4 linked regions of the Diceros bicornis minor genome follow. The protein of the gene in region 4 purifies or fractionates together with the protein of the main gene of each other region. This does not show direct contact. Links are inferred from orthologs where the notes say so. Each region holds a gene or a part of one and is shown on either strand. Other genes may lie near its edges. The genes, in order: BCL11B, MIER3, DDX5 and HDAC2.

Region 1 (8,113 bases), on a different chromosome or scaffold from region 4:
GCCTCCTCCTCTGCCCGGGTTGGTGTTTTGGTTTTTTTTTCCCTTCCTCTCTTGCCCTCTCTTCCTTCTCCTCTTCTTCTTTATTTTGCTCTTTCTTCTATGCTGTTTTTTGTTTTGTTTGCAAAAAGAAAAACAGAAGACAAAAAAGAAAAGAAAAACCTCTCGATCTAAAATAGGAGAAAGAGGCAAAAAAAAAAAATGCTGTTGCTTGCCGCGGAGTGGCCGGTTTCTTTAAAAATATATTCTTCTGAAGGAAAAAAAAATCTCTTACACTTCTTCAAACTGCTTGGCCTCCTGGACTTCCAAATGTCTTCTTGAACTTAAACCGGATTTTGCACCGGCTCCTGAGACTTTCTTTCAGGGTCTGGTAGGTGGAAAGCGCACTTCTACCAGGAGGGGGGAAAAGGGGAAAAAATGCAAACAAATAAAAAAGAAAAGAAGAAAAAGAAAAGGAAAAAAAGAAAAGAAAACTTGAGGACTTGTCTCGTATCCCCTCACCCCGCCCCCTCAAAAAACCCACAGCAATGTAAAGCTGCCCCGGTTCGGTGGTTTCTGGGTTTTCTGCGGGCTGCCTGTTTTTTTTCTCGGAGACTGACCCTTCCGAGGCTCTGGGGGACTGACTCCAGGAGCGGCTCCTTCCCAGTTCACCTGGCAGGCTGGCGCCGGCCGGAGAGGCTGCCGGGTCCCCGCGAGCGCTCCCCAGCGCTCCCCTGGCGCCGCGGGCCCGGGGGGAGCTGGGCTGAGGGGCGGCTCGCCCAGTGCGCCTGGGTCGGTGCGGGCGCGGACTGGGAGCTATAGATTGCAACGTGAAGATGGCGGAGTCCGGGTTCTCTGGGAGCTCTCGGTCTCTCTATGGCTGGGGCTGCCTCTGTACAATGGGATAAAATTCAAGTTCAAGTGCGGACGTGACGTTTAATCTGCACTAGAGACAAAAAGACCCAGAGAGTCGGAGCACTGGGGGCGACTAGCGGTGGCTTTTTAACATTGTACCCTGTAAGAGAACAAGAAAGCACACACACACACACAGAGCCACACTCGCGCGCGCGCGCACACACATACACACACACACACTCGCCCGTGCGCACACCCGCAGTCCAGGCCGGCCACACGTGCAAACAGCGTTTTTGTGCGCTCCTCTTCTCCCCGTGCACTGGCAGCGCAAAGAGGGGGGAGACGGTGGGCAGGATATTTTTAAATAAAAGAAAACCCTCTTCATCCCTCCTCCCCTCCTGGGAGTAGGACCCCCTGAGAAGGGGGGCGGAGTGCTGCGTGCGTGGAAGTAAGTTGAATTAACGCAAGTCCCCACCCACCCATCGAAAGCTCTTTTGGACGTCGGGGGGGGGCCGGCGTTGAGGAGGGTTGGAGTCGACATGGGGGACATGGTCAGTCGCTTCATCTCCCTGGAAAAGTAGCTTGGTTGTTTTTACTTTTGTTTTATTCGGGGGTCGGGGTTAAACTTCCAAAAAGTACCTCCATATAAATCCTGATATTACAAACTCTGGGAGAGCGAAGTGGACAAAATAAAAGATATACAGAGGAGAGAATTAAGAGCACATTTGGGGGAGGGGGACATGAGACCTTGTTTGAGTCCCATTCCGGAAGGAATGCTCACCGGAATCTGTGAGCTCTCTCCACTTCACCCCATTAACTCCTGCGGGTCAAATCCGGGCCCCACCCCCTAACACCAGAGTCAGCAGGAAGTGGGGGCTAAGGGGGCAGGGGTGCTCCACGTGGGAGAGGGAGTTGTCGGCGCTGACCCAGAAGTAGGCGGGGCCGGTACTCTGAAGACACTCCTGTGGATGATCCCCTCAGGTCCCCCAGTTCCCTCCCACTCACTGACAATTATTGCAACCTGAAAGTGACGCCCCCACCCCCAGTGCTCCTCCGCCCAGGGCAGGACTTGAAATCTCCGGTCAGACTGGGAAGGACACAGCTGCCTTGTCAGCCGTTTGATCTCCAGCCGGCGAGGACAAGAGGAGTTGTGGGGGCCTGTCCGTGGCCCGCGGACAAGGCCAGGCCGCGGTCTGCATGGACACTCCGCCGCCCCCAGCCTCGTCCCTCCTCAGGCCGTGGCCAACTCGTCTATTTGATGACCTGACCTCCCGGGCTGGACGCGCCACGCGGTTGGACCTCTCTCCCTTCTCAGGGTTTCCTGGTCTGGGCCGGGAAGCGGCCAGGGCGGGTCGGGGCCTGGCTCAGGGCTGGGCTTCGCGGGCGAGCCCAGCTGCACCCACCCCACCCCGCCCCCAGGCCCGGCTCCGGCGGCTTCACCCGAGCGACTGGTTAGGCCGAGACGCCTCCGGGCTCGCCGCCTCCCTCGGGTCCTTTTCCTTGGGGGGCACATGGGGTTTTTGTTCGCCTCCAAGGTCTCGGGTGGGGTCACCGTACCAGCAACTCAACAGAGCGCAGCGCCCATTAGCGAGGCCAGAAAGAGCTCCCTGCCTAAACCACCCCCCCAAAAATAATAACAATAAAATGTGCCCCAGCATGCAGTTTTGCGGACTGGGCTGCAGGGTCGGCGGCCAAGCGGGTGGAGACTGGGCGGTGGAAGGGGCGGGGGCAAGTCGGCACTCCCCCTCCCCACCACTGCACGCCGCTGCCCACTACTCCTAACCCACACTCCACCTCCACGTGGTCCAAAGTCTAGAAGCGCCTCCCTCTCCTCTCATCTAGCCCCACCGCGAAAATCTTTCCAGGAAAGTGGCCTAAGTAAGAAAAAATGCCCACACGCACCTTTCATAAACTTCTTAAGAAAACCATAAACCGGTCATCCCAACTCGCCCAGATTCTTAAATTTGGAAGAGCTGTTAGGTCTCTTTCCGAGAACTGGCCGTGTGAAGTCCAGAGAAGGTTAGCGTTTTGCCCAAGGTTACACAGCGCAAGGGGCAAGTCTGGACTCCAATCGCCGCCGCGTGCCTGCTGCCCCGCGCCGCCTGCGCTCCGGCACCCGAAATCCCGACACGCGACACTCGCCCTCGGGGCGATGATAACAAGGAAGGGGGACCGGGTCTGTGGCTGCGGGGAACGCGGCAGCCGCCTTCAAGAAAGGGGGCCCTCCGCGGACTGCGCGGGGCGCCCAGGGGCCCCGGCTGCAGCTGCCGCCCCCCGCGCGCTCGGGCGGCGGAGTCTGGGGAGGGGGCACCCCGCCCCACCCCCAGCAGGAAGTAGCGGGCAGGGGGCGGCGCGGGCCGCGACTGACCCGGGGAGCACTTCCTCATTGGCCCCGCGCTGCCCCGACGGCGGGAAGAGGGACGCGCGGGCGGGCCGGCGCAGGGCCGGACACGCCGCCGCCGGCCGGCGCGCTCCACCTCGCGGCGGCCCGGGAGAGGCTGCCCTGCCCCTGCCCAGCCCGCGCTGGCCCCTTGGCCCTCCTCCTCCTCCTCTCTCCCGAAAGGCGGCCGGGCGCAGGCAGCAAGCGATCCCAGCTGCCGCTCCAGTCTCCTTTTTTTCCCTCTGCCCGTCTGGCACGGGCATCATTAGCGGTGGAAGCTGTTAATGTCTGGTCTCACAGCTCCCCCTTTAGTCTTGCTGCGCTCCCTGTCTCGCGTTCCAAGCCGGATCAATAGCCGCTTCTCCGCCGACCTTGACCTCTCCCTCGACCCCGCCCGGCTTAGGCAGCTGGCCCACACTAATGTTTCCCCACTCTCCGGATGCCCAGACAACAGGCGGGCGGGGCGGGAGGAGATGGGGAGCCCGGGACACAGCCCCGTCCCTACCCTTTCCTCAGAACCCCAGGCAGACAGGGGACCCAGTACTCTTCAGAGAAGGTCACGGCGCGCGCACACACCCCCCCACCCCACCACTTCATCTACCAAGTCTTTGTTTAGAATAAAAGTCACTCCGTCCCCCAAAAAAGGGGGGGTGAGGGGGAGCGGGTGCTTAACATATGAAAATAAAAGAGGAAAAAGTACAAGTACAAACGTGGTCCTGAGTCATATTACAATCCTTCAGACTCATTTCTCCAGCACCTGCTGCAGACCTACTGGGTGCTGGGCCCAGGGCTGTGGCTTTGTGCAGACTGCAATCAGATGGAAAGAAATACCACATTTTCTGCACTATCTTTAAAAAAAAAAGATAAAACAGCAGATGTCAAAAAGCTTTTTGAACTCACAAATATTTCCCTGCTTTTCTTTTTCTAGCTTCAGAGTGCATTCCAGCAGATAATCCCCCATATTCTCAGTCACTTTAAATTTCTTTATAGAAGAATAGTTCAGAAATCAGAAATCATTGCATCAAATCAGAGTGCATTTTTATTAACCTTGTGTGGGGCTCTGATTCCCTATGTGTGCTTCTCGTACCATGCCACGCATGGGGGGGCAGATTAAACAGACACGTGACTTCCTAGCCAGGCTTCTTGTTTAAAATTCTCTGAAGGATTCTCAATCCTTAACTCTTAGCTGAGGTGGGCTCTATTTGCGATTCTACAATGTTATCTTTGCCTTCTGAGCTGTTAGATTTTCTATGACGTCTTTACAAAAATTTGGAAAGAATCAAGATAAGTAGTGTCAGTAGAAATGAGAACTCCCAACGTTTATGCTGGAAAAAAATCGACTTTTCATTTGCTGTTTTTTTTTTAACATGGATCCATCCTCTAAAATGTAGTCAAATAACTTTGTAGCAATATACAAACTTAACAGCACATCTTACAGAACCGGTTCATCTATGGTGCTTTAAAAAAAAATCCGTGCAAAGAGAAGGCGAATCTTTTCGTATTCACAGGTGTAGGGCAGACTCAGAAGCAAACTGTGTCTGCTAATTTCTACTCCTCAGGATCTATAAACGCTATTGACTGTGAAAATGAGGATAAATAAAATGCAGCGTTCTGATCAGTGGATTGACTTGTTTTAACTTTCAAAGAAACCGCAATGGAGGTACTAAGCAAGTCATATTTATGTACATATTAATAAGGCTCCCGAGATGGTCCTTATCTTCTTCTTACAGTTCTAGAATCTCTAGGAGCTATCAAATCCAGAAGCATAAAAAGACAAAAGAGGCCTTTTGGGCTTCCCGGCATATCTTATAAAATTGTTTTATATCATTTCTGAAAATTACGGCAAATTTCTAAATGCCGTAAGCACTCAATTCAGGCTTTGCTGCATTTGGAGGAGTTTTTCGGATTGTCACCTTATAGCAGAGACAGGACCACAAAACTTGCCTTCTGATAATCGTTTGGATGATTCTCTCCGTGTCCTGAATTTAGTAACATCGCTTTTGTTAAAACATGACATCATTTGCACCTTACTTATTTCTGCAAGTAATATTTGGGCTTGATACAGTAGTAGATTTCCAACCATTGCTTAACTGCGGGAAGCATAGGCAAGCTCTAGAAAAACTAAGAGGCATCGTTGCCTGCTGTCTTTAGAGCTGCAGCCTGCAAGGGGTTAAATCAAAGTCACTCTTCCTGATTCATGTATTATTTTCCTTAAAAAATACTTACCCAGCTCTCCGTATATGAAAAAGACTCACACCCACATTGACTGTTCCTAGCTCTGTCCCTGTCATCAGAAATGATATTGAATGGCTCAGTACTAGGGGATCTGGAACTATTTCTACAGCTTTCTCACCTCATTTGGAATTTTCTTGCCTTGCTAATTTTAATGCTTTAGTTGAGTCATCAATTCAAATTCGGTAGGGACTGGCATCACCCAGTTGGTCGACTTGGGAGAAATATTGTTCACCAAGACAATCAGACTCCACCAGATCCCACCCCACCATGTGCACAGAGATCAGAGTGGCTGTGGGGAGTGTGTATGCGTGTATGTGTGTGGTGTGTGGTGTGTTGTACAAAAGAGTCTCTCTGCTGCTTTCCCTCTTGTCACTGAGTCTCCAAATTGTATGACTAAAAGTGCAACACACACACACACACCAGTTTAAATTCAGGGGTCTAGTGACTGTCAATCTACCCTATTTAGACCACAGACAAGGAAGAGAAAGAGAGTTAAAATGGTTCATTTGGGGAAAGAACTGGGATGCAGAAGGGAATTTTCAGTTCCGACTCTGGCTGTCAGGCGCTGCCGTCAGAACTGGCGCTGCATTGAGTCTGGTGATAGGAAACGGGGAGCGGCCGAGATGGAGGCAATAATGATCACCTTCCTAACAAGGGGTTTTATGAGGCTGTGAGGATTAATTAGTTTGTATCCTTAAGCAGTTTGAGAAAGAGGAAGTTTCAGTAAATGCTAAGCAGGAGTTGTAGACAAGTCTGACTCAGTTGCAAGCTCTGCCCCCACCGCCAATCCCAGGCTCTGAGAACTCCTGTCTGTGCTGTGATGCTCCACAAAGAAAGCAGTGGAAAGAGAATCCGGGGAAGTACTGGCCTAGGGAAGAACAGAGAAGGAGAGAGAAGCACGAGTCAGGCTAGCATCCCTCCAAAAGGCAGGCTAATGAGAAGGCTGCAAGGCGGTACTTACCAAAAAATAAAAATAAAAACCAGCCAACACCTTGTTTCGCAAATGCCTTCCAGAGCTGGAAAAGAAAAAAGGATCTGGGAGATCTCATCTGTTGTTTCGTAGTTTTGGAAACAGGCACGTATGCTTTCGAGTGAATTAACAAAGGTAGTTTGTATCCTAGAAAACACTTAAGTGGCGTTCCCTCTATTTAATAGAGAAGGGTTAATGTTGCAAGATGACAAGCACACAAGCTTCTGCAACACAAAGTTTGAACCACGGGCGCATTATTGGAGATGGAATAGTATACCTATAGTACGTGGAAATTATAAAAGTTGCTCTATTGTGCACGTATTAAAACATTGCATCTGCGTGAAGACACACTTTCAGCTCAATTTACAAGGCAAACAATTTGCTACAACAAAAGATAATTAATGCTGCCCAGGGAAAACCGAGACGCTGAATTGCTGTGCGTTCTGGTATTAGTTTAATCTGAATCCTTTAAAAAAAATGATTTCACTGTGATTTTTAAGCCTTTGGGATCGTTGAAACAACAATGGCTTCTAAAATATGGATGTGGCAATAACGTTTCCATTTGAACTTGTGACAAAGCCCCTCTGCCTCTCTCTCTCTTCTCTCTCTCTCTCCCTTTCTCCCACATGTGTCCTGAAATGAAACAGTGGGTGAGAGCGAAGACGCCCATCTCTGACCTGTCTCCGATGGTCTGCCATCTAAATACAGGGCAGATTTACGGTCGATTTTTTAACGTCTGAATTTGGACCTCCGGATTCAAATGGGTGGATTCCTCAGCTGTTGGGATTCAGTTGGAAATGCAGTTTCATTATTTGTATCTGCTTAACAGGAACAATTAGAGAACTGAAGAGTGAGGAGGCCTGTTTGGGGACCATTTTGGTATTGTACCCAGACCACACATTCCGGCTGGGAAGGAACACAGTAATGTATAAAGCATTAGTGGGTTTAACACTCCACGTTGTGTTTGGGGAATCGAATTGTCGATGTTTCTGGCAAGAACTCATACTCCAATTGAAATCTATCAAACACCTTAATTAGCTCCCGGTACCTCAATGCACCCAACCCAGAGGCAAGTCGAAAAGCATAAGAAGGAAAGGACAGAAGCTGCACCGAGGTGGCAGGGGACTCCCTGGCTCCCCTCAGGGCCCTGTGGCCTCAGTTTCCAGACCGGGATGCACAGGCCGTGATGGGAAGGCCAACAAGCCCTGGCAGTAAACGCGCCAGCCACAGGGGACTCGAGTGAGGGTGTCTGGATGGTTTGACCAATGTTGGCTGACGGGATGGGAAGAGGCCACAGTGACACAAAGCTGCTGCCAACGGTGACGGGAGTCTTTTCCTCAGCCAACCATTCCACCTGGACCTCAGTACAAATTATTGTTTTCAATTACCACCTGTGTATTCCTTCCCATGCAACTTATTGATGTAAAATTACAGCTACGCCGGTATAAATAAGTTATGCTGCAGTTGTAAAATGGAAGAAATTTTGTTGTAGCAATTATGTTCAGCAAGATGACAAAATAAATTTCCAGAGCTGTGCCTGCAGTAACCTGGGGAATTTAAACCTCATAATTTCCATTCATTTCAGATAATTTGGAGTAATTTCTATATGTAATAACGTTGTAATGAAAAACACAGCGGTACTGAAGTGATTTCGCTCCATTTTTTTCTCCTATGGTATACATGGCACAAAATAAATG
Region 2 (7,535 bases), on a different chromosome or scaffold from region 4:
CTTTCTCAGAGAGTAGTCATTCATTTCAACAAAAAATATTTGAGTATTACACAGGAGAAGTGGATATATTTAGAAAAATGCACGTAGCTTTTTCCGATGGAGAGCTGAATTGTTGGCATTACAGTCTTATCCACAGCCGTGTTGAGGGGTAATATTAAGAGGATGATCTAGGTTAGAGTCTGCAAACTGGAAGCTCATGGCTAACATGATTTACTTAATGTGATTTATTTGGCCCACACTGGATTCAAAAAACTTTTAATTAGGGGCCAGCTGGTGGCACAGCGGTTAAGTTTACACGCTATTCTTCCGCGGCCTGCGGTTCACGGGTTCGGATCCCAGGCGCGGACTGACGCACCACTTGTCAAGCCATGCTGTGGTGGCGTCCCATATAAAGTAGAGGAAGATGGGCATGGATGTTAGCCCAGGGCCAATCTTCCTCAGCAAAAAGTGGAGGATTGACAATGGATGTTAGCTCAGGGCTAATCTTCCTCACACACACTTAACTAATTTTTATCAACTAATTTTTAATTAGTTGATAAATTTCAAAAACCCGGAGTTTTCACATAAAAATCCAGCTTTCCAGATGTCCTTGGGAGATCAGAACGTCTGGCCTACGATTTCACAAGGCAAGAGCCGGTCTGCTGAGTCTAAGTTAGTGTCTGCCCCACTGAGGCAGGATTTCCGTCTACCGGATCGCTACTGCCCCCACTTGTCTTCACACTGGCTTGCTTCACTCATTCATTGTGCCTGACTGACTGCCAGAGGCCCTTGAGATTGAGACATTAACTTTGGATAGTCTATTATTTTCTCTTGGGTTAGATGAATCTGTAGAAAGCTCAATATTTGTATTGCATTACTGTGGCCCTATTAAAACTGCTCTCAGTAGGTCGTATGTTCACATGGTGCCCTCAGCTTGCATGGATGGTCACTAAAAGAAACAGTGTTGTAAAACCTGCTAGTGTGTTTGAGGATCTGGTGGACGATATTTCCCTCCACATTTCCATGTTGCTATAACGTAGCTCAGGCAAGATATTTCTTTTAAAGTGTCCTGAAAATCTTTGTCTCCATCGAAGAATTTGTATTTTCCTCAAAGACAATGAGCATCAAGCAACTGATTGTATTTACTTTTTTTTTCCTTTTGCTTTGGGTCCAGAAAGCTCTAAGCCAAATTTACGGTTTAACTCTCTTATTGTGTGTTACACCTCATTACCTGCATATTCTTGTTCTAACTTTTTCTCAGGTGTTAACTTCCTAGTCTAATGAGTTTCAATGGTCCTCATTTTTTATATTTACATTTTCTTATTTTATTGTACGTATTTATTGTAAGCCATCTCAAATCATGCATTTACAAAGTTCTCTTGATTTATTTCATTTCTAAAGATGGCTGGAGGATCTATTACATTTTGGTTCTCCTTAGGGAGTTACCATGGTTTCAGTTTTGAGTTTTCCTTGCTCTTGTTCCCATCGACCACATATAAGAATTAGTCAGTTATACTGTCAGCTTTTGAGGGACAAAGACTTGTATGGTGATCCCATAGTGCCCAGCATCCAGCATCAGATTTACTTTCTATATAATGCCACCATAGTGACAGGATAATGCTAACAATAGGAAAAAGTCATTTTTTATTTCAACTCCCTGGAACAAGGGGACGTTTTATCTGTACCAACGCCTGGAAGTCTTGTCATCAAAAAGAGTGAAAGATCCATGTACATACAGTAGACTTTACACACTTTATCATAAAAGGAATGTGTTATGTAAGACTGGGTAGTAAACTATTTTTCTAGTGATTAGGAGGGGGGAAAGTAGCTCAGCTACCTTAAACTGCGAATTTATTTAGCTTCACTCTCTCTCTATGAATCCTTATTTAATACCCTGGACACAGACTACATAAACTATGTACTATGATGGAGAGAATATATGCAGTCAAAATTACAAATGCCTATACAAAATCTTTACAGTTTAATAAAAAAAGAATCTGCAGAAACTCTAATAAGTTTATGCAAGTGCATGAGTCTATATATTTCTCACATACGGCAGAATGGAACCTAAGGCTACATTTATAGTTTGGATTAGCCATGTTTTGCTAGGAAGGAAACATTTTTCCTTAGTGTTAAGTTCGAGGTAGGCTGTTAGAGACACTTTCTTCATGTCCGGGGCTGGTCTGTGGTGGCTCAGACTGTGGTCAAGCTCGAAGCACTGTTTAATGGCTCTGTCCACAGGGCGTGCTCACTGCCACATTTCTAAAGTTAATCACTTGCACTTAATTAAGTCATTTTTTACTTTGAAATCTCTAAATGCCTCATTGAGGACAGTACATACAGTGTGTGCCAAGTTTCAAAGTTCAGCTGTTTTTGAGTTATTTGACTGGACAAAAGGTCGAAAGATATCTTTCACAGCAGGGAAAGTGTAATTTTCCACGTCTTTATGATGTTTTGAAATGGTTGAAATGATTTTTCTCCTAAAATTTCCACAAATAAATAACTTTTATCGGTAAATTTAATTTTGAGATGCCTTGGCAAAAATGTTGCAAGTAACCTCCTCCCCTCCTATCCATAACCCAGGATCCATAGGATGCATTCTTGTAGGGGAGAATTGAAGGCAACCCCAGGTTAAAATCCAGACCTTTCACAGTTGGACTAAGAGCATGGAAAGTTTTAGCTTCTAAAAAGTGCCTCAACTTGTGAGATCACAGCAAAAACCTCAACTCATCTTTTTTTTTTTTGCTGAGGAAGAGATGCCCTGAGCTAACATCCGTACCAATCTTCCTCTATTTTTTAGTACATGGGCAGCCAGCACAGCATGGGTGCTAACAGAGTGCTGTAGGTCCGCACCCAGGATCCCAACTCCACCAGGGAAGCAGAGCATGCTGAACTTAACCACTGGCCCACGTGGGCTGGCCCCTCTATTATTTAATATTACATGTTTGAGCAACAGTTGGGAGAAGAGCCCTGGTGTCTGAAATCCCTCTCCTCCCCAAGTCTCTGTGGGGTCCTGCCATACTCTTCTGATTGTGTTTGGATCTCAGTTATCCATGGACCTTACAGCAGACTTCTCTTTTCCATATTTTTGGAATTTCTTTTCCATACATATTGTTATTTCTGGCCTCCTGCCTCAATTAATCGTGTGCCAAGGCAACTCCGCATGGGACTTGAACTCGCAGGATTTTTTTTTTTAATTGAAGTATAGTTGACACACAATATTGTATTCGTTTCAGGTGTACAGAACTTCTTGCAGGATTTAACTCTGTGGGCTACAAAGGAGTTGTTAGTGAATATTTTTGGGTACCGTGCTCAAAGTTGTTCAGTGTGGACACGGACCTGCTACGAGTTAGACTTACCTCTCCCAGTGAAGAGTAAATGGCCATAACGCATGCGTAGGAGCCGGTATACCTGTTAAGCCTTGTCCTCCTTCCTCCACCCAATCACTTGCCCATAGAACTAGCTTCCTTTTTGACCCTAACTAAATTTTTGGCCTTTTGGGAGGGAGGTGGGAGGCAGAGTTTTTGAGACTCAGTTCAGGGCCTTTGATATACTATTCCCACCCTTCCACAGGTCTATCAGGTGTGTACCTCTGGGTTATCCCCCAGACTATTTGGTGATTAACGACCCTTAGGACTATTCTAATTTTTTTTCGTACCTGCACAGTTTATATTTTATGAGCATCTTCGAATTGCTCAAGTCTATTCATCATCGATTCTTTGCCCTATTGATCTTTTGTCTTTTCTTCCGTACTGTCACTGTCTTCCAGAGCCTGTTTGGCAAATGACCACTTCCACCGTCCACGAGCCAGTGTACGGTGGTCTGCATCCCCCATTCCTGCAAGACTCTTCGGGGAAACCGCAAAGTGCCTGGTCGCTGTCCTCTCATCCCGGACTGACGCTGCCATCCATTAGCCACTTCTCCCATTTCCCGGGGCTTCCTCTCGTCCATCAGTCTACTCCATCGATCACCTCCTCTCTTCTTTCTTAGCGAAGTCTGTCGAGTTGTCCCTCCAAGTCTCCTGCCCGCTTCCCCCACGCCCTACCGGACCAGAGTGTCTGTCGGTCGGTCCTCAGCCACCCCGGCCGATTCTCGGGCCTCGACTGGCCGGACGGGGGTCTGCCCCGCGCCCGTGCTTCCATCCGTCCCCCGCTCGCCTCCGATTCGGCAGGAACTTCACTCCAGCCGAGCGGGGAAGGGCGGTGCGCGCGGGTGCGGGCTGGGCGGCCGGCAGCGGGCGCGGGGCGCGGGGCGCGGCGAGGGGCGCCGGGCGGGGTGGGCGTGCGAGGGGCCGGGGGCGTCGCGGGCCGCCCTGCCCTATAAGGGGCCGAGCCGCCTCCGCCGCCGGGCGGGTGCCGGGCGGACCGCGGCGGCGGCGGCGGCTGCGATTGGCTCAGGCGCCCCATCCGGGGACTGGGCTCGGCGCTGCTCGTTCGCCCTAAAGGTACCAATATGGCGGAGGTGAGCAGGGGAACCGGGCAGGAGCGGCCGGGCAGGAGCGGGCGCCCGGCGGCCCCCCGCCTTCCCCGGCCGGCCTGGGGGATCCGGGGCCCTTCCCGCCGCCCCACGGGGGACGGCGCGGCGGCGCGGGGGCCGCGGGGCGGCGAGGGGCCGCGGCGGGGCCGGCCGGGGGGCGGGAGCGGGCGCGGGAGCGGTCTCCCTCCGGGACTAGGCCGCGGCGGCTCCGGCCCCGACGCGGCCGGGCGGCGGGGCGGGACGGGAGGCGGCGGCCGGCGGCAGCGAGCCCCGGCCCGGGGACGGTGCCGTACCGTGCCCCCGGGCAGCTGACGCGGGCCGCCGGAGCCTCCGCGCCGCCCCCCGGGGCCGGGGTGGGTGGAAACCGGCCGAGCCCCCCCTCCGCGGCCGGATTGCAGAACGGAGAGCGGGCTGCGCCACTGCCCTGCGGGAGGAGTGCTCGGTGCCCCCGGCCCACCGGGGCCGGGCTGCGGCGCGAAGGAGCCTCCCGCTCCACTTTGCTCGGGGCGCGCAGGCGAGCGGGATGCGCGGCCGCCGGGCTTCGCGGGAGGCGAGCGGGACTCCCCGCCCCGCAGCCCGGGAGGAGCCGGAGCCCCTGGGGGTGAAGGGGGCGGACCAAGATCCTCGACGCTCTTTCCAGGGGCTCTCGGTAGCCCCACTTTCCTCTGGGCTGGAGGAGGGAGGCAGGGGGAGTGAAGCTGCCCTGGCCGTGTCCCTCGGGACTAGTGAGTTGGGGGGAGGGGGTGGCGCAGCAGGAGCCCCTCGGCTGGAACTCGCTTTGGCGAGGGTCTCACTGGCGGGCCCGAGGAGGGACTGAACACCCTGGAGAGAACCAGCATCTCTGAGACTGAGGGGCCGCGTCTCCGGACTCAGGAGAGAGGATGGGGGGCTTGCGCTTTGGTTGGGGGCGAATGTCCGACTGCGAGCCGGCCTACGCTCGGGGGTAGAGGACAGCCCAGGAGTTGGGGCTCCCGGGCCCCAAGGGATGGACTAGGTGCTCGGAGGGCGAGTCTGTCCCTTCCAGGAAAGGTTGTTGCCTTGCGAAGTGTTGTTTGGGGCCGTGGAGAGCCTGGTGGGATTTGGGGGACTCCCGAGATGCCGGGGATGGGGTACCGATGCTGCGAGCTGACTGCTCTGGGTTTTGCTTCTCTGCTTTGTAACTTGCTGAGCTCCAAGGGGCGGCGTGGAGTTGCCTGTTAGACTCCGGGCTTCGTCCCGGGTCTGCGAGTTTGTACACTGGGGACTCGGGGAGGAAGGCGAGGCAGCCAAGAGGGGCCCGAAAGGGGCCGGGAGCGATTGGAGCGAAGCTACGTCTTGCACTTTTGGCAGCTGCAGAGGAGCGCTGGGCTCCGCCTCCTCTGCGCCCTGTTGCCGGCGCTGTCTCTTCCCCCGGCAGCGCGATCTAACCGCACGTTTTCTTCTCTCTCCTAGGCTTCTTTTGGAAGTTCGAGCCCAGGTTTGTCCTATTTTCTTACCTCTTCAGTGGGTCCCAAAGGGTAATGGGGGCTCAAAGATCTATTGCTAAAGGTCTTCCCACAAAAATTTGTCCTGCTAGTTTTTCATCATTTGTTTTCAAGAGTTTCAATGTACATTTTGGTAATTTAATTGTTCGAGGAAGGAACAGTTATACTATTCTCTTTTTTGCTTGCATGTTGAAAAAATACCTTGTTACAAAGCTGCCAATAGACATGTTCTTTTTAAGTAATATATCTTTAATTCTCACATATCTTGTTTTTTCTCCAAGCCTGGAACAGTTTAATCACTAACTTGAGTAGTTTAGTTTAGATTTTAATTTTAGTTTCTCCAAGAAATCGACTCTTTAATTCGTCAGAACTTTGGGGTTGCTTATATTGATTATTAACCATGACTCCCCATCTTCCCTTATTTGGTCTTATAAAATTTTCATAATTGGGAAATGTCTATAGATTGTGTTAAAATTGAAAATTGAGAGGTAAAGCTGCCTTAAAAGAAACACAGAATTTCCGATTGGCACAGAAAAGTGGTAATGTAGAATTTTTGAGGTGAGACAACTTTAGATTGTCTAGTACACTGTTTCTTATCCTTTTTGGGGTCAGAAACCCCTGTCGGGATCTGATGAAAGCAAGAGACTCTCTCTCCAGAACTCTGCACATATGCATAATTGCATACGTTTTGGGGTTTGTAGAACCCCTGAATCCCATCCATGGCAAGGACCTTTCCTCATGTGCTAAAATGTAAGGACAGCTTTGTTTCGATTTCTCATCCTCTTTCCAGCCCCCTCTTGGCTGCCTCTTTTCCATCTCATAGTCCCCAGGAAAAGTACCTCTGAACTAGTCCAACTCCCTTATTTTACACTTGAGGAGACTTTTAAATAACTCTACTAAGAATCACCAGTTAATAGCAGAGCCTGGATGAGCTCCCAAGTCTTCCTTTATAACCTGTTGCTTTAGAGGGAACAGTCCATTTCCTTGCATATTACTTTGTGTATTTAGTCGACTTTTAAGGTCTTGCTTGATTATTGTTTAAGGTATTATAAAATAATTAATCAACACCAAGTAGAAGAAATTTGTGGCTATTTTAAGAACAGCTGTCTGCATCTTTACATTTAAAAATTGTTTTAAAAAGTTTCTCTAATTTTGAGACATTTTCTTTGTTATAACTGATTTCAGGGGAAGACTATGTACATGATGCCAAACATCTGGATGATAATGGAATTTTTCCGTTTTGCATCACTGTCTGCTTTTAAGAAGTTGCAATGTAAATAAAAAGCAAAAACGCAGTGTGGTTTTGGTGTTTAAACAAACTTATAACCTGTTTTTAATCAATTAGCCAATTTTAAAGAGAATTTTAGAGCTAGAAGAGACTCTTGAGGTCATTTAAGCCAACCCTATGTATTTTACAAATGAAAAAGTGGACCCAGGCCCAGAAAGTTTAAATGACTTGCCTCAGGTCCCAGAAAGGCAGGGAGAAAGCCAAGAGTAGACCCTCCGACCTTTCATTTCTCGCCCTTATTGAATACAGTCCACTGTAAGGGGGAAGCCTGCTGTGCGGAGTGATGTGTGGATTACAAAAGAGGAGAGAGCTCTGCCCTCAGAGAGGTG
Region 3 (7,494 bases), on a different chromosome or scaffold from region 4:
GGTTTGCCTATCAGGCTAAAGAATTTCGGATAAAAAAATAAAAGTACTGTACTGTAAGAATGAATTTAGAGCTAAGTTTGAAGAGGTAACATATTTAAGGGCACTCACTCTTATCTGATCCACAATCTTCCTTATTTGGGGTTCAAAGCCCATATCAAGCATTCTATCTGCTTCATCAAGGACAAGGTAGGTGGTTCTTCTCAGATTGGTTTTCCCACACTCTAAAAAGTCAATCAGTCTTCCAGGTGTTGCAATACAGATTTCCACACCTTCAATTAAACACATAAATGTAACCAAGACATCCAAAACTTTTAGCAACATCAGTAATGAAGAGAACCTTTTTTGTTTACATGCCTCTCTCCAAATCACGTATCTGTGGTCCCTTGGGAGCACCACCATAGATGCAAGTGGACTTCAAGCGACATGCTCTACAGTATTCAGCAGCTACTTGCTGTACCTGTTGGGCCAGTTCCCGAGTTGGTGCCAGCACCAAGCACTAAGGAAAGAGGAACAGAAAGCAGAAGAGCTTTTACCAGAGACCTGAATCCCAGTTTTCAACTGCTAATTTATCAGTTTACAGTGGCATATTATTTTGCTGTCCAATACCCTAAAATGCTTTGTCTCCAGTCAACTCGAGTAGGATAACTAGAGTCTCCCCACAAAACCACCACAAATTATGTCTTTTGCTATATAGTCTATAAAATCTCTAAATTACACTTCTAGCCAAAAATTAAGAGAAAATACATATATACTTACAATAGGCCCATCACCTCTCTCTAGGAATGGCTGATGATTGATGTGGACTATGGCAGGCAGCAAATACTATTCAGAGGAGAGCAGACAACAAGGTACCATTAATATACTTCTGGTTTCTTTGTATGCCCAATCCATGTTCTCTAGACCCATCACAGAGTAACTCAAAAGTTCTCCCAAACTTACAGACAATGTTTTTCCAGATCCAGTCTGTGCCACTCCAACCATATCCAATCCACTTAGAGCAACTGGCCATCCCTGAGCTTGAATAGCAGTGGGTTCAGTAAAGTTCTGCCTTGCAATAACATCCATAACGTTTGCTGTAATTAGCAATAGCAACTTAGTAAAAATTAGTAGGGCCAAGAGAAAGGGGGGAATTAAAAAAAAAAAAGGAGAAGAAACAAAAGTAGCACTTACCAGGAAAGTTTGCTTCATAAAAATTCAGAACTGGCTTTGGGCAATTGTGACCTCTAACCGTAATTTCCTTGCTTCTTCTATATGTATCCACCTCTTGCTACAACACAAATTACAATAATCTAGTGTGTGTCATGATAACCGCCTCTAACACAATCAGTAGGCCCCTAAATTTATAATTGATTAGCTACATTAATGTTGCCATTTTAAATCTGGATCCACATATGAAAACCCTATATAGCCCAAGAACCCCATATCGTGTTACACTCAACCATTCTAAGTAGAAAAACTCAAAGCCAACTGTTTCCAAAAAGTAACACCTCTTCCCCAACTACCAAGTCAAAAAGCAGTAATTTCTCAAAACTTGGTCATTTGCTAGACCTTTCTGGTCCGACTTCCATTTACTATAAGTTGTTACTGAGTTACAGCCTAGTGGGGCCAACGAAATTACTCACTGCTGTGCGCCTAGCCAAATCAGGGTGTTCTTGATAAAAATTCTTCTCAAATTTGGGCAGCTCATCAAGGTTCCACTTCTTTTTAACTAGTTTCTCCCCAGGGTTTCCAAACTTCTTTCCAGATAGGGGCCCTGCCCTACTTCCTCCAAATCGAGGTGCCCCAAACCTGAAATTAAAAAAGAGTTACATTTTCAAACGCCTACACAGGGCTTTACATATAGACAGACTTACTAACCCTTGGCACACACTCAAGATCAATTAAAGACTTTTGGAGGTTTAAGATCTAGCTCTAGCCTTAATGATGGTCATTCTCCCAAACCCACAATCAGCATCCTATCTATCTCATTTCCCGTGGTCCCAAGTACACACTACTGAAGCTAAGTCAACAGCCCGGGATTTATCAGGTCGGAAATACACTGCCCAAACGCCAGAAGTTCAGACTACAAGTACAGACAACAGCTTGTGGCTACCAGTCTTTCCCACAAGCTTATGAATTAAATATCTGGGAGAGAAACAATACAAGAAAGGAGAAGCTTAACAGCTACGTTATTTCTCAGCTGTTTCAAGCACAGCAACTTTGGTTTTAAGTGGATAACGGGACAGTACAGGCAGCCAGAGCATTACAATGAGGGTTCTCCAGGACGCTGAAGCCAGTGGAGTTGGGGGATCCCGCGGAAAGGCCCCGGAGCAAGGTAGCAAAATTACATAACGCGAAAAAAAGAGGAGGAGGAGCTGGCGACTACCAGGGGAGGAGTCCCGACCCAGGCGGAGTCGGCCGGGCGGCGTTCCCGCTGGGGCGGCGCTTCCCCCTTTGTCTCGCATTTCTCTCTGCGCCACATTTTCTCGACGCTGCCATTTTGAGCTCCTCCGCCGGGCGGGGTAACAAAGGCGCCGCCGCCATGTCCGACGCCGGCATTTTGTACCCGCGGCTCAGCCACATGGCCGATTCCCGCGGCGCCGGCCACCCCCCTGCCCCCGCGGAGGCTTCAGAGGCGGCTCCCTTGGCTCCCGCTGAATCCTGGGGGCCCCTAAAACACCTCCGGAAAGCTTGCACCTAGAAGCGGCGACTCCGTCCGCCTCGAAGCGTCGCGCTCGCCTGCCCTAGAAATACGCTCCTCCGCATTCTCCCAACAGCGGCTAAATCGCCGAGGCCCTGATGGCCCCCGCAAACAAAGGGCGAGCTCGAGGGCCGTTAACAGGCGAATCTCTTCTAGTCACTTTTGGACAAATATCAAACATTCCATTGAAGAGGCCCATGGGTGGGCTGAAAAAGACAAGTTCCCACCCTCTCCACCGCCCGCCGCGACCCTTATCGGCCTCCCATCCCCCACCCGCCGGGCCTGACAGGTCAGTTCTCACACTTACCCTCGATCCCGGCCGCGGTCTCGGTCACTCGAATAACCCGACATGGCGTCAATGGTTGCGGTTGGCGGGGAACGAAGTGGAGAGAAACGGGTGCGACGAGTCGCTGGAGCTGGCTTCGACGACGGCGAAGCCTTGCGGGGGCGGCAGAAGCAGAGGGACAGCGATGACTGGAGCAAGAAGTGCTCCACAAGAGACTGGTGGAAATGAATGAGGTGCCGGCCGCGTCCCGGCAGCCGGTTTTATAGCCTGGACCGCCTCCTCCGCCGCACAGAATGCTGGGAGCCGCTCTATGACCTAATCACCCCGCCCCTGCGCTGAGGCCGCAACGCCCGCCGGCGTTCCGGAATCCGCCGTGTTCTCGCCCCTCCCCCCAGGCCCCTCCCTCAGAGTCGCCCGTTTTTCGCCCCTTTTATGGCTGGGCCCACCCACCACTGGGAGGCCCTAGCTTGCACGCTCTTGACTCCACCCTTTTCTCGTCTGTCTACACCTTAAGGAAGCCACCCTGCCCTTTTCCTGGTCCGGCCCAAGGGATAAAATGGTCAGCCCACTTGGAAATGTTTACGTCTCCAAAGAGCCTTCACGGCCATAACCAAACGAGAAGGCGTGAAGGCGGAGCCTGGCATTGTCACGTGGCTGCCCCCCCATCCGGTGAGTGGACCGCACTACTTCCCCAGTTGGCATCAGCGGAAGAATACAAAACGAAATAGCTCACCGGAAGTGCCGTGCTAAAGCCCCTGAGAGACCGGCCAGGGCTGCTGGGTGACCTGGGCTGTCAAACCCACCCACCGGAGAATCCCTTAGCAGGATCTTGTCGCGGAGAATGGTACCTCGACTCCGCAAACCGCCGCCCCGGCGCGTGCTACGAAAGGAAGTGCTCCTCTGATGACCAATCAGCAGTGAGAGGCCGTTTTAACGTCCCTCCCTCCTTCACCCCTCCTTCGCTGCGCTTTCGTTTCGTTCCGCCTCTTCTCAGCACTGTGTGTGCCCCTTGCGGCCCTTCCAGGACACCGTCCACCGCGCGCCCGGCCAGGAGTCTGGTGCCGACCTGCCTCCGCGACATGGCCGGGTCGGAGACTGGTGAGTCTCGCCTTGGAGCCGTGGTATGTGTGGACTGAAGCTGTCCAAATCCCTGAACGGCCCTGCCCATTTTATCTTGAGGCCTCGAGCCGGCTTCAACTAGGACTGGGCTGCCGCCGGGGCTGGTGACACACCCGGTCGTAGACGGTGGGCTCTCTGGATAGGGTCTCCTAACCCCATTCCCTGTCCGCTTCGAGGCCACCGAGCGCGATTTTGGGGCGGGGGAGAGGAGGCCCTGCGGCGAGGACCGTAGCACGCCGGTATCCTGGTGCAAAAGGGCGGTCAGCAAGTGTTTTTTTCGGGACTCTAGCCCTTGTCGGTGTGCTCTTTGCTCCTCGCTGTGGGAACTCAGGTCGTACCTGCCGTCTGTATTGAATTTCTGAGGAATGGCACTCTTAAGATCTGTTGATGCCCCTGCCAAAGTAGAATAGTGGTGGATTTTTCTCTTCAGTGCCCTCTAGAGTTACCGGCTTTGTCTAGCACCACTTGAAAAACGAGTTGATTTGGTTGTCTAGGACGCTTTCATCCTTTTCTCCAGGACAGCCTTCAAACCAGTTGTCATGGTTTGGTCAGCTTTGAGGGATGGACACGGAGAGAGGGAGATAATGTGCCTTGAAGACACATACACACATTTATTTCTAGGACATACTGAAGATATCGAATACGGAATAAAAGAACTTTCCCCTTAATCGCCAGTCATTTCAGGGAACAAATGTTTCAAGCTTTCTAAATTACCTTTGGTCGAAAAACCCTTGAAATAACTTGCCTAATCCCAACAGTATCTGGGGGTGGGGTGGGGTGGTAGGCAGGAAAGTTCAACAGTATTGGTAATGTACTAGTTCTGAATTTAGGGACATTTTATATATTTCCCATATTTTCGTTCATATGCATTAAATATAATTTTAAAAACCAACAAGTGTAGTAGTGTTGGCATCACTACTCCAGTTCTTAACAGCCCCTTTTTGGACACCAGAGAAATTCTGACTTGCACAAGATAATTGGGTAAAAACGTGACTAATGCTATTGGGAATTTGAAGCAACATCCATTAATTAGTTTCTAGTAATCTCAGATTATCATTAACTGTCTTGTTTATGACAGTATTCCCATTTACTTGTAAATATATTTTACATAAAAACACCTATGTATGGCTTGTAAAATAGGAACTACAATAAGTAACTTAAAATTTTCAATTGCAACAGTGAAAGCTGGATTCACATCGTAGTTTTGGCTACATTGAAATTCTGGCACTCTGGAAATCATCCCAAGAAATTAAATACATCTTTTCAAAAATCATGCCTAGGAGGGTCTTTGAAATTTTATAACAATCAAATCCCTTATCTTCTACAGAGTTCAGTGTCTGTTTTTGTGGGGCTTGTTTTTTTTTAATGTATGTATATGACTCTTTCTAGTGCTATTTAAGGTTGGTCTTTTCCCTTTCCCAACAGAGTGGGTAACCATTGCCAATAACCTTCTTTTGAAATGTCACATACATCTGAGGATACACGAACTAGAAGATTGTGATGCTAATGTTTTTATTGCTCTTTATCAATCCATTTTGGGAGAAAAGGTGCCAGGTAAGGGTACTAAAAAGTGAGAGTAATATTGTCTGTATCTTAGGCCGCAAGTTTCTAGTGCTGTTAGTTAGATCCTATGGTGTTTATAAAATCTTGAGTTTTCTCTTTGTCTGCTTCTTATTTTTATCTAAATATTGCATTCATTACCTTAATGACTGCCTAGGAGACCCACCTGTAATAACAGCCTTGGTCATCGCTGTTTAATTATGCCTAATGCCTTGTGAAAGTCATACCTTTTCCATCAATCTACCTTCAAAGGTTCTAAAATTGAGTGGAACTTTGAAACTTGTTGGGTCCTGTTGCTTAAGCAATATTATGGATAAGAATTGTTGTTTGTTACCCTGGTTAAATACCTCAGAGTCCTTATCCATAAATTCCTCTCTTGCCTCTGTTTCTTTCATAGTTGATAACCATTAAGTATTATAAGCTCTGTATAGTCTCTCTTCCTTTCCCCCTGTTACCGTGAGTCAGTGCCCTCATCACCTCTTGGAATAATGGGATGGTCTCTACCTGGTATCTTTCATGCTAGTCTCAACCGTCTTTAGAGTTCAGAGGCATGTAGTTATTAGACTAGTCCTTTAAAATACTTTTTTCATCCTACCCCAAAACATTCATCTTCCTCAATACCAGAGGAGAAACTCCAAATTTAAGTTGATATTAAAATCTTTCTGCACTTTGGTCCATACTGACCTTTTAATCCTTTGTACCAATAATTCCCAATAGGCTGCTTTAACACGACATGCAAGAATTCTACTTTCACACCTGTTGTGGGTTTTTTTCTCTCATGGAAAGCAGCCCATGGTTATGGGTTAAAGTGTCACCACATGTATTGCCCCCTTATTAGAATATTAGCATCGCCTTGAATTTAGGGACCTCTCTATCTTCCTTTAGCATGGTGCTCATTGTAGAGCACGTTCATATATATTTTGGTTGAATAAATATTCAGTCAATAATTATTCAACCAGTAAAGATTCTGCTGTGTGGAATTCAGGCTCTGTTAACTTTATTTGTACTTTATAGCCTGTTCTGTTTGGGCAGAGCTTAGTTTTGTAGCAGTGGAGCTTACTCACAAGCCTGGTCAGAGACAGATAGGTGAAAACTTGGCCCCTCATAGATGCAAAATTATGTGGCTTTTTTCCCACAGACCTCATAGCTATTCCTAGGAGTCAAGAGGATGACGCTCACAATGTACAAGCAGTAATTGATTCATTGGCCTTGGATTACCTGCAGGTCAGCTTGTCTCATATAACAGGTTGGTATATACTTAGCTATCAGATAATTTTGCATTTTACTTAAAATAATTTGTTAGGTAGAATCCCAGACATTGTTTAATTAACAAATGAGTAATCTTATGAAATAGACTAACCAGCAAGACTGAGCCAAGACAGTTGACTGGTGTAGTTAAGTCAGCCATCCTTGAGAGCTTTTCCAGAAGAGTCAGACATTGAGTTTGTGATGGCTCTGGGTCTGAGATGTAAGTATCCTAGCTGGTAATTTGAGGTATGTTTTGTTGTTCTTCTATTATTTTAAAGCTACCATCCTGCTTGTTTGTAGTAGCTAAAAATTAGAAATACCTAAATGTCCATTATTAGGGACAGGTTAAATAAATTATGATAGCTCATTACAGGGAACTACTCTGCAGCTGTGAAAGATGATTGATGATGCTCCTTAGGTACAATGTTTCACGTTAGTGGAACAATCTCCACTATATATTGTGTGAGAAAAATGTGGTGCACTTACAATGATAATGTGCAGAGTATGCTACTATTCCTAAAAACAAAGGTAGGGAGAATATATATGCAGTTGATTGCATACAGAAGAACTCGTTAGAAGCATATGCAAGAAACCTGTAATA
Region 4 (7,910 bases):
GGACCAACATAAGTCTGAGAGCACAGGTTGACAGTGCCTCCAACATGGTGAAGAAGTCCCCCCATCTGGAGGAAAGTGATAACAACCAGTACATTGTTCATGCATCTGTCTTTAAACCTACTTTCTGGTACTCAACCTGCAAACCTCTCCCCAATTCCTCCTCATTAACAAGCAATAAAGTGGGGACCATTTAATTCCCAGTTGACCACACAATCTAATCAGTATATTTGCCACCAATTCCCATGAACTTCTCTTAAATTCTGTTAGTTGGTTGACAAGGCCCTCATCTTTCCTTTTTCAGAAAGCTTTCTCTCTCAGCATCCTAGCCTCATGACCAAAAACTTTGAAGAAATGTGAAGGGTCTGAAATTTTACACTACTTGCAAGCTAACCAGCTAGCCAATCACAGTTTCATAGATACTAGTATAAGACACAAGACTTCCATGTTAAAGACAAAGGATAATTTATTATTCAAAACAGCAGTGACCAAAGTATCAGCATTATTTTTTGTGCTGTTGCCCTGAGCCCCAATTCCTACAGACCAAGAGGAAGAGGGCCAGATGACACCTGCATTTGCAGTGGATTGCCTACAGGAGAGGAACCCTGAATTTAGGGAACCTGAATCTTTTATAATGGGTAGTATGCATGCGTGCCCTTTGCTACAGACAGGGTCATTTTCTCTATCTTCCAAAGCTGTTCCCTGTACAAAGGTCTTTGAATAGATTGTTTGGAACAAAAGGCATTCAGTACCTTGGCTCTCAAGATATTCAGAAACCCATGGAGAGTTGTTTCCTAACAGAAACCTATAGTTTCTTAGTAGAAATTACCAGAAGTCACTAACTTCTAATGCATATTTTGCATGAGTTAGGATGGTACTCAGCTGCATATAACAAAATCCTGACTACAGTGGTTTAACCAATGTGTTTGTTTTGTTTTTTCCCTGCATGTAACCAGAAGTCCAGAGGTAGACAGTCCAGGTCTGGTACAGATATAAATGAGGTCATCAAGGACCCAGGTCCCTATCTTCCTGCTCCACCATCCTTAGCATTTATTTTTCATCTGATGGTCCCAACATGCATACTCCACCTCCATTTGTACAGTTCTGGTGCTCCGTGGAGAGAAGTGGTTATCAGATTTGAAGGAAAGTCAAAAAAAATTGAGCTAGGAAAGAGGAAGAATTAAGATATATACATAGAGTAGTTAGGAGACAATAGCAAGTAAATTTTCCCAGACACAGTGTGGGTGTAGAGTTTTACTAGAAAATTTGTGCAAGTAAATAGATTGGATCAAAGTAATACCATGTTTTGTGGGTCATGAGCAAAGCATTAACCAATTAACAAGCTAACAGGGGTTACTTGAGGGGTTTAATGTAACTGAGTAACTTAGTACATAAGCTATGATTCAAAAATATATTTTTAATGAAAATGGGCAATTTTAAATTTTATTACACAAATGCACAGTTCAAATAGGACTATAATCTTTCATTGTTTGGTGCTACTGTTCTGATTTATGAGTTACAGCTTGTAGTACTGTGTAAAAATAGGCACCATGCTTCCAGGATCAGAATTCAGCTTGAGACTGTTTTAGTTTGTGACAACACCCCAGCGTTAGTCACTGTACTCTTCTACATTCTGTATTATCCTATGGAATTGCTACCTAGAATTTAACACCTTAGAGCAGAAACAAGCTTATGCAAATAATTCTTTTATAGCAACTAAAAATTAAGCTATCTGCCGCAGTTGATAGCAGGATTTAATTTTTAGCATAGACTGAGGCAATCAGTTTCTAAATAGTCCTATCTCTAAATAATCCATTTATGTTTAACAGATCATTTCATTGAATAATCTCGAAGCACTAAACATCTTCAAGATTGGAAAAATAAATTCCTATAGACAGAGAAGGAACTAAAGAAAAATAGTTTAAGAATAAAGACAATCTTCAAGTACTATGAATGAACCACGAATTCTAGAATTTTGTGAATGAACCATGCTCTCAACTTTTCTTCTACTGTATATTGTCTAAAATTCTCTTTTTTCTAATGGTAAAAATGTTTGATAGAGATGAGTTGGAATATAGTAAATGAAGTTTGGAGCTTTGTCAATGGATTTCAATAACTGATTCTACGTTTAGCTCTCATGATCTAAAGCTCATTATATGTGTTTAGGGACATAATTCTCATGGCCTGCTCTTACCACTGGATTAAACTCCTTCTCCAATGCCAGTTTCTAAGGGTAAAATAATTTGCTTCTATTGGCTTAAAATTATTAAATAATAAATAATGTAACAGGTTCTTCAACCATTCAAAATATATGTCTGGGTTCTTCTTATGAATTCAAGGCTAGGTGCTATGGATACAAACAATAATTATTATTACTATTATTATACAGTAATCATAATAATCCTTTCTATTCACATAGATCTTTATTGTTGAATGTTGTATTGTATTGAATTGTATTGTATTGAATATTGAATACTATTGTATTGAATTGTATTGTATTGAATATTGAATACTATTCAGCCATAAAAAAAAGACAAAATTGTGCCATTTGTGACAACATGGATGGGTCCTGAGGGTATTATGCTAAGCAAAACAAGTCAGAGAGAGAAAGACAAATACCATAAGATTTCACTCATACGTAGAAGATAAACAAACACATAGATAAGGAGAACAGATTAGCAGTTACCAGAGGGCAAGGGGGTGGGGGGAGGGCCAAAGGAGTAAAAGGGCACATGAGTATGATGATGGATAAGAAACTAGACTATTGGTGGGGAACACAATGCAGCCTATACAGAAACTGAAATACAATAATGTACACCTGAAATTTACACAATGTTATAAGCCAATATGACCTCAATAAAAAAATTTTTAAATACTATTCCATATTAATTTTCTTATTTGAGCTACTCAATATTCATATGAGGAATTACTCTCCGAGTAATACAGCCCCATTTTAGAGATGAGGCAATTCAGACAAAAAAAGTTTAAGAGACTTGCCCCAAGTCATAAGCACTGGAGATACAATTATGTGCAAGACAGACATGGTCCCTCCTCTCCTGAAACTCTATTCTAATGAGAACATTCAGAGAAGTTGTGGGCAACTGTAACATGGTAAGTATTGAGCTAGAGGGGTAGAAGTCACAACCACCATGTGAGGAGCACAGAAAACAGTCTTGGGGGGAGGGGGTAGAGTCAGGGAAGTTTCCTGAAGTCTCATTTCAGACTTCACTATGTGGGCTCTGAGAAGAACATTAGTTTCTACTAAATTAACTTATTCTGTTCTCAGAAACTAACAAGTTGATTTTAGACTTGATAGAGCAAAACTTTGAAAGTCAGTATCATGTAATTAACTTTACCTCTAACCTAAGTGTAATGTTTCTTACACTGTGATTCCCGTACCAACTGTATCAGGTACCTGGGGTGCTTGTTAAAAATATAGACTTGAGGGAGGAAAAGCTGGGCTACCCTGGAATTACTTTTTCTAAATTTGGGGGGTGGGGGAGGAGGTCCAGGAAAATTCCCGCTTTAAGTAGGAACACCTTGGGAATTTTGACGTCAAACAGCAAAAATAAAGAGGGTATTTTTGGTAGCGTCTCTAAATGGTTCCTGTTTCAATAAGGACTTTTTTTTTTTTTTTTTTGATGGGGGTGTGGGAAAATGTGTTATATTTGGGGGAAATTGTAACTGATAGAGGTGGGCTAAAAGTGCTACACTGCAGACTGTCCGCCCCCGACCCCTCACCCGCAAGATGGCTGGTTTACAGTGGGTGCTTGATAAATGTTTGTTGACTTGTTGAACACAGGGACACAGCTATTTATAACTTCCATGAGTTTTGCAAGTCCTTTTTCTTCCCTTTCTGCTCCAATGTCCAGCCAGCATCAGCAGCACAGTGGAGTAGCTAGCGTGTGTGAATTGTCGGGAAAGAATGAATTATTCAAATCCCAGACCATCACCAGTTGAGAGAACTAAATTCCTTAATCTCCCCCATTTATAAAGAAGGAATAGAAATAATACTTACACCCCAGTGTTGTTGGAAGTCTATACTGAGTTACAGGTTATCTACTATAAATAGGTATCAATGAAACATGTTGTAAATGCAAATACTTAGAACCGTGCCTTACACACAAATTGCATTCTTTAAACGCTCATTCAAACCCAGACAGTACACTCTACTTTTTAATCTGTTAACAGGTCCTTCTACCAGGTCAGAACCTCGGAGCAATTATCAGTAAAAAAAAATCAAAGAACAAATGAATAAACGTGAAAACCAAGGAGACCCGGCACAGGGTCACTGGACTACGGACTAGCCGGCTCGTGGCAACCACAAGGGGCTCTAGAGGGGTCTTTCTCCGCCCGGCTCGCGGCACGTGGTCCGCTCGGGCGGGAGCTTCGCGACAGTGGGGGAGGGGAGCGGCGTGCGACGACGCAGAGGGGGTCTCCGCAGCCAAGGCTACGGTTGGGGAGGCGCGGACTGCGCACGCTCGGGATAGGCGCAACCACTGTGTGAAGATCCGGAGGGGGGAGCGTTCACCAGGCTCCATGCTCTCTTTATGTAAATACGGAGCGAAAGCCTGTCCTTTTTTCTCGTTTTACGACCCTACTTGGCACTGCCCTCTGCAAGCTGTTCATCATTGAAGGCCTCTTATGCCAAGACTGAGGAGGCCTATTTCTCTAGTCGTGTCCCTCCCTCCCCCGTGGGGGCCACAGTGGACGCGTCCCACCTCCCCTCGGCCTCCGGAGGTGGTTGGGCTGCCCCCTCCCCCTCCCCAGTGTCGCGAGTTGGCGCCGCTGCCAACCCTCGCTCCGCGCTCTTGGCCCCTCGGCCGGGCGGTACCGAGCCCTCCCGGCGCCCCCTCCTCGCCTCCCACCGGCTCGCCCTTCCCCGCAGGACTGCCACCCGCCCCTCCGCCCCAGCCCTGTTCTCTCCCCGCCGAGCCGCGGCGGCCGCAGCAGCAGCAGGAGGAGGAGCCGGAGCCCGGGGGCGGCGGTGGCCGGGGAGCCCATGGCGTACAGTCAGGGAGGCGGCAAGAAGAAAGTCTGCTACTACTACGATGGTGAGGGGCCGCGCCGGGCCAGGGGGCGGCAGGGCTGGGGCGCCGGGCCTGGGGCCGCCGTCGCGAGTGGGCGCCGGTGCTGAGGGGTGGGGAGGAGGAGGGACCGACGCCTGGCCGCATCTTCACCCGTTCCCGACCCGACGCCGGCAGCGGGAGACCCGCGGAGGTGCGGGCGGCAGCCAGGGGACGCCCCACTCCTCCGTCCTGCCCTTCTTCCTCCGGCGGGTCGGTCTGCCGCTCCGAAGTGGCCGCCTCTGGGACGTGGCCGGCCATCCCCGGCTTCGTGGGTGCGGCGAAGGGGACGGCCCTCGCCGGCTCCTCTCCTGCCCGCCACTCGTGGGAGCGGAGGTTTGGGGGTGCCCTGCTGCGGCCTCTTGCACCCGACCCCTCCCCCGGGTCAAAATACCTACCCCGGCCGAGCCTGCACACAAAGCCCTGCGGCCTCGAGAGCTCCGCCCCTGCAGCCCCTTCCCTCCCCATCCCTGTGTGCTCCCCTCCCCTCGGTCTGCGGCTGGACCGAGCATCTTCTTTCTCCGCCTCCAGCCTCGCCCCGGACCACTGGACCCGGGTCGGTGCTGGAGAGCAGTTCCCGAGGGTGCAGGCCCCCCTCCGGCCTGGGGCACACTCACACCCCTGTTGTGCGTGGGCTCCATCCCTCTCCTTTGTTCGCCGGGTTCTTTGAGCGCCACTTTTCTCAGGATTCAAATGAAAAGGCTGCGCTTCCTCAATTAAAATCAGGGTTTTCGAGTTTGAGGTAGTCAGCCTTCGCGGGAAACATGACGGTGGTAGGGAAACGTGGAGCTGTTAATGCTGGTGTTGTGGATCCGAGACTCGATGGGTTCCGGCTTGCCTCTGTGAGAGGTGGTTACCACCCACTTCTTTGTTGCTCTTTGTTCGATCAGGAAATACACCCTGCTCTGGAGGTTTAGGAGAGCAGGGGCATCTTGCTTGTGAAAGCTGTTTCTAGGTGGTGGGAGTCCTGGTGTAGGAAAACTTTGAGGAGTAGTGCAGAAGTACTAAATAATCAGGTAAGCTTGAGCTCACGGTACAGTAAATTGTAAAAGTCAGGTAATTTAATTTTAGGGGTTCTTCTAATTTGAAGTTTGGGCAGTAACATTAAATCTCTGAAACCTGTTTCCTGCGCTAGTCTGAATTATACTAAGCGGAGTAGTAACCTGTTTTACACATTTCATAAATAAATAGGCAATAGTAAATAGTTGGTAAATAGTTCCTAGTAGGTTACTCTCCAAAAAAAGAATTCTAAAATTTAACGAAGAAGCTAGGCTCAAATGACCTGAAAGTCCTATCTGATTTGTCTGAAGCAATATAAATTTTGGAAGCTGTTTGCTACATTCGGTGTACTATAAATCACAAAATCTTAGAAAGGTAAAAAGACCTTAGAGGATTGGGTGAGAATAAATCTGACTTCAATTTGAAAATGGCCATCCCGTATCTCTTCAGTTAGCGAGGATGAATCTTCTAATGCCTGTTTATATAAAATAACCACCTGTGTCATTTGTGGAAAAATCTAAAATCTTAGAGAACGAGTAAGTTGTCTGATATTTGATAGCTAGTACTAAATAGTAACAGCCATATTTTAAAAATATGTTTCGAGAGGACCATGTATGTGTGTAATACATATTGATTTGAAATTGTGCCATTGTGGAGGGGTGGAGATGGGAGTATGTTTTAATTTTAACATGAATTATTAAAGTTTCTTAAAGTTCATTCTTGGAGAATTCATGCATGTTTTAGGTCACTGGTAAAACTCTTGCTTTGCATTCCCTGATCAAATTGAAAAGTAAACCATGTGTGTAAGTTACTTTTTAAAACTATGTTGTTTCTAAGGTTTAGAGATTTGTTCTTGTCAGGGCTTGAGGTAAAGAAGGCTGGTTTTAAAAAGTTGGGGGGAGCACAGGACAGATAGAACTGTTTGGTGGTTACCAGGGGCTAGGGGGTTGGGTGGGCACAAGGGGTGGAGGGATGCACTTGTATGGTGACTGACAAGCAATAATGTACAACAAAAATTTCACAATAAAAAATTAAAAAAAAATAGTTTGGGGGTACTGAGGCTCTTCTTGCTGCTGTTGGTTGCTGTTGACAGTGATAGGCTCTAGTGGAGTAAACTGCTTGTACCTTCTTGTCACAGGCTTGAACTGTGGAACCAGGGGGTACACTTAAGTGGCAGTTTTATAAACAGCTGTTTGTTCGTTGGCTCATTTATGATGAGCCTTTGTTGAGGGAATGGGAGCCAACTCTGGTCCCAATGGCGGGATGCAGGCTTGATAGGTAGAGTGGGAGTATCTAAGTCTCGTGATTGTGACTTAATCAATACTTTATAGTCGACCATTCAGCTGCTTCACCTGGTGGCCAGCAACAGGTGTGGAACTGAATGTAGGGAAGTCTCTGGTTGGATTGTCTTTTGTCCAAGGCTCTTCCTTGACTCATTTTTAGAATAGAATTTGTCGTTGCTTACATTTGAAATATTCTTTGGATTTTTGTGGGGAGTCTAATAAAATATTCTGCAGAGATTATTAAATTTGATAGGTATCGTTATGCTAATTATTAGTATATGATAGTGTGCTAAGCTCTGCACAATTAATTCCAAAAGCTTTTTTTTTAATTGTGAGGAAAGAGGATGCAAGTAAAGCAGCTTCTGCACCAAAGAGTTCTATGACTCGAAGGTATACAACATGGTCTGGATTGGGAGTGGGTAGTATCGGTAGAAATAGGGCCTGAATAATCTGCCAGCCTAAATTAACTGGTTTTAACTTGTTGGTAAAGCAAGTAGATGGAAGAAAGATAAGGAGGAAAAGAGTGAAGTAGCAAATTTCTGTAACCATAGGAATCCTACCTTTA

Evidence for each region.
Region 1: the proteins of HDAC2 (region 4) and BCL11B purify together in Homo sapiens (affinity purification with mass spectrometry; 4 studies listed by BioGRID and IntAct, with this or other methods). This does not show direct contact. The link is inferred for Diceros bicornis minor from reciprocal best matches to the Homo sapiens genes HDAC2 and BCL11B.
Region 2: the proteins of HDAC2 (region 4) and MIER3 purify together in Homo sapiens (affinity purification with mass spectrometry; 3 studies listed by BioGRID and IntAct, with this or other methods). This does not show direct contact. The link is inferred for Diceros bicornis minor from reciprocal best matches to the Homo sapiens genes HDAC2 and MIER3.
Region 3: the proteins of HDAC2 (region 4) and DDX5 purify together in Homo sapiens (affinity purification with western blotting; 3 studies listed by BioGRID, with this or other methods). This does not show direct contact. The link is inferred for Diceros bicornis minor from reciprocal best matches to the Homo sapiens genes HDAC2 and DDX5.

What each region holds. Positions count from the first base shown.
Region 1 is NC_080763.1:44,454,217-44,462,329, forward strand, and holds the start of BCL11B (B-cell lymphoma/leukemia 11B), read right to left. Parts: upstream 3,048-8,113; 5' UTR 2,734-3,047; intron 1,760-2,733; exon of another isoform or gene 387-1,759; 5' UTR 1-386. UniProt on the Homo sapiens protein: Key regulator of both differentiation and survival of T-lymphocytes during thymocyte development in mammals.
Region 2 is NC_080759.1:19,015,860-19,023,394, forward strand, and holds the start of MIER3 (mesoderm induction early response protein 3), read left to right. Parts: upstream 1-4,419; 5' UTR 4,420-4,431; coding exon 4,432-4,440; intron 4,441-5,886; coding exon 5,887-5,911; intron 5,912-7,535.
Region 3 is NC_080757.1:47,202,320-47,209,813, forward strand, and holds the start of DDX5 (probable ATP-dependent RNA helicase DDX5), read right to left. Parts: upstream 3,194-7,494; 5' UTR 3,032-3,193; coding exon 2,988-3,031; intron 1,789-2,987; coding exon 1,623-1,788; intron 1,268-1,622; coding exon 1,171-1,267; intron 1,074-1,170; coding exon 940-1,073; intron 823-939; coding exon 757-822; intron 497-756; coding exon 355-496; intron 270-354; coding exon 109-269; intron 16-108; coding exon 1-15. Other genes in the region: CEP95 (centrosomal protein of 95 kDa), read left to right, coding at 4,046-4,064, 5,511-5,639, 6,784-6,891. UniProt on the Homo sapiens protein: Involved in the alternative regulation of pre-mRNA splicing; its RNA helicase activity is necessary for increasing tau exon 10 inclusion and occurs in a RBM4-dependent manner. Binds to the tau pre-mRNA in the stem-loop region downstream of exon 10.
Region 4 is NC_080762.1:21,797,096-21,805,005, forward strand, and holds the start of HDAC2 (histone deacetylase 2), read left to right. Parts: upstream 1-4,858; 5' UTR 4,859-4,999; coding exon 5,000-5,051; intron 5,052-5,958; exon of another isoform or gene 5,959-6,079; intron 6,080-7,910. UniProt on the Homo sapiens protein: Histone deacetylase that catalyzes the deacetylation of lysine residues on the N-terminal part of the core histones (H2A, H2B, H3 and H4).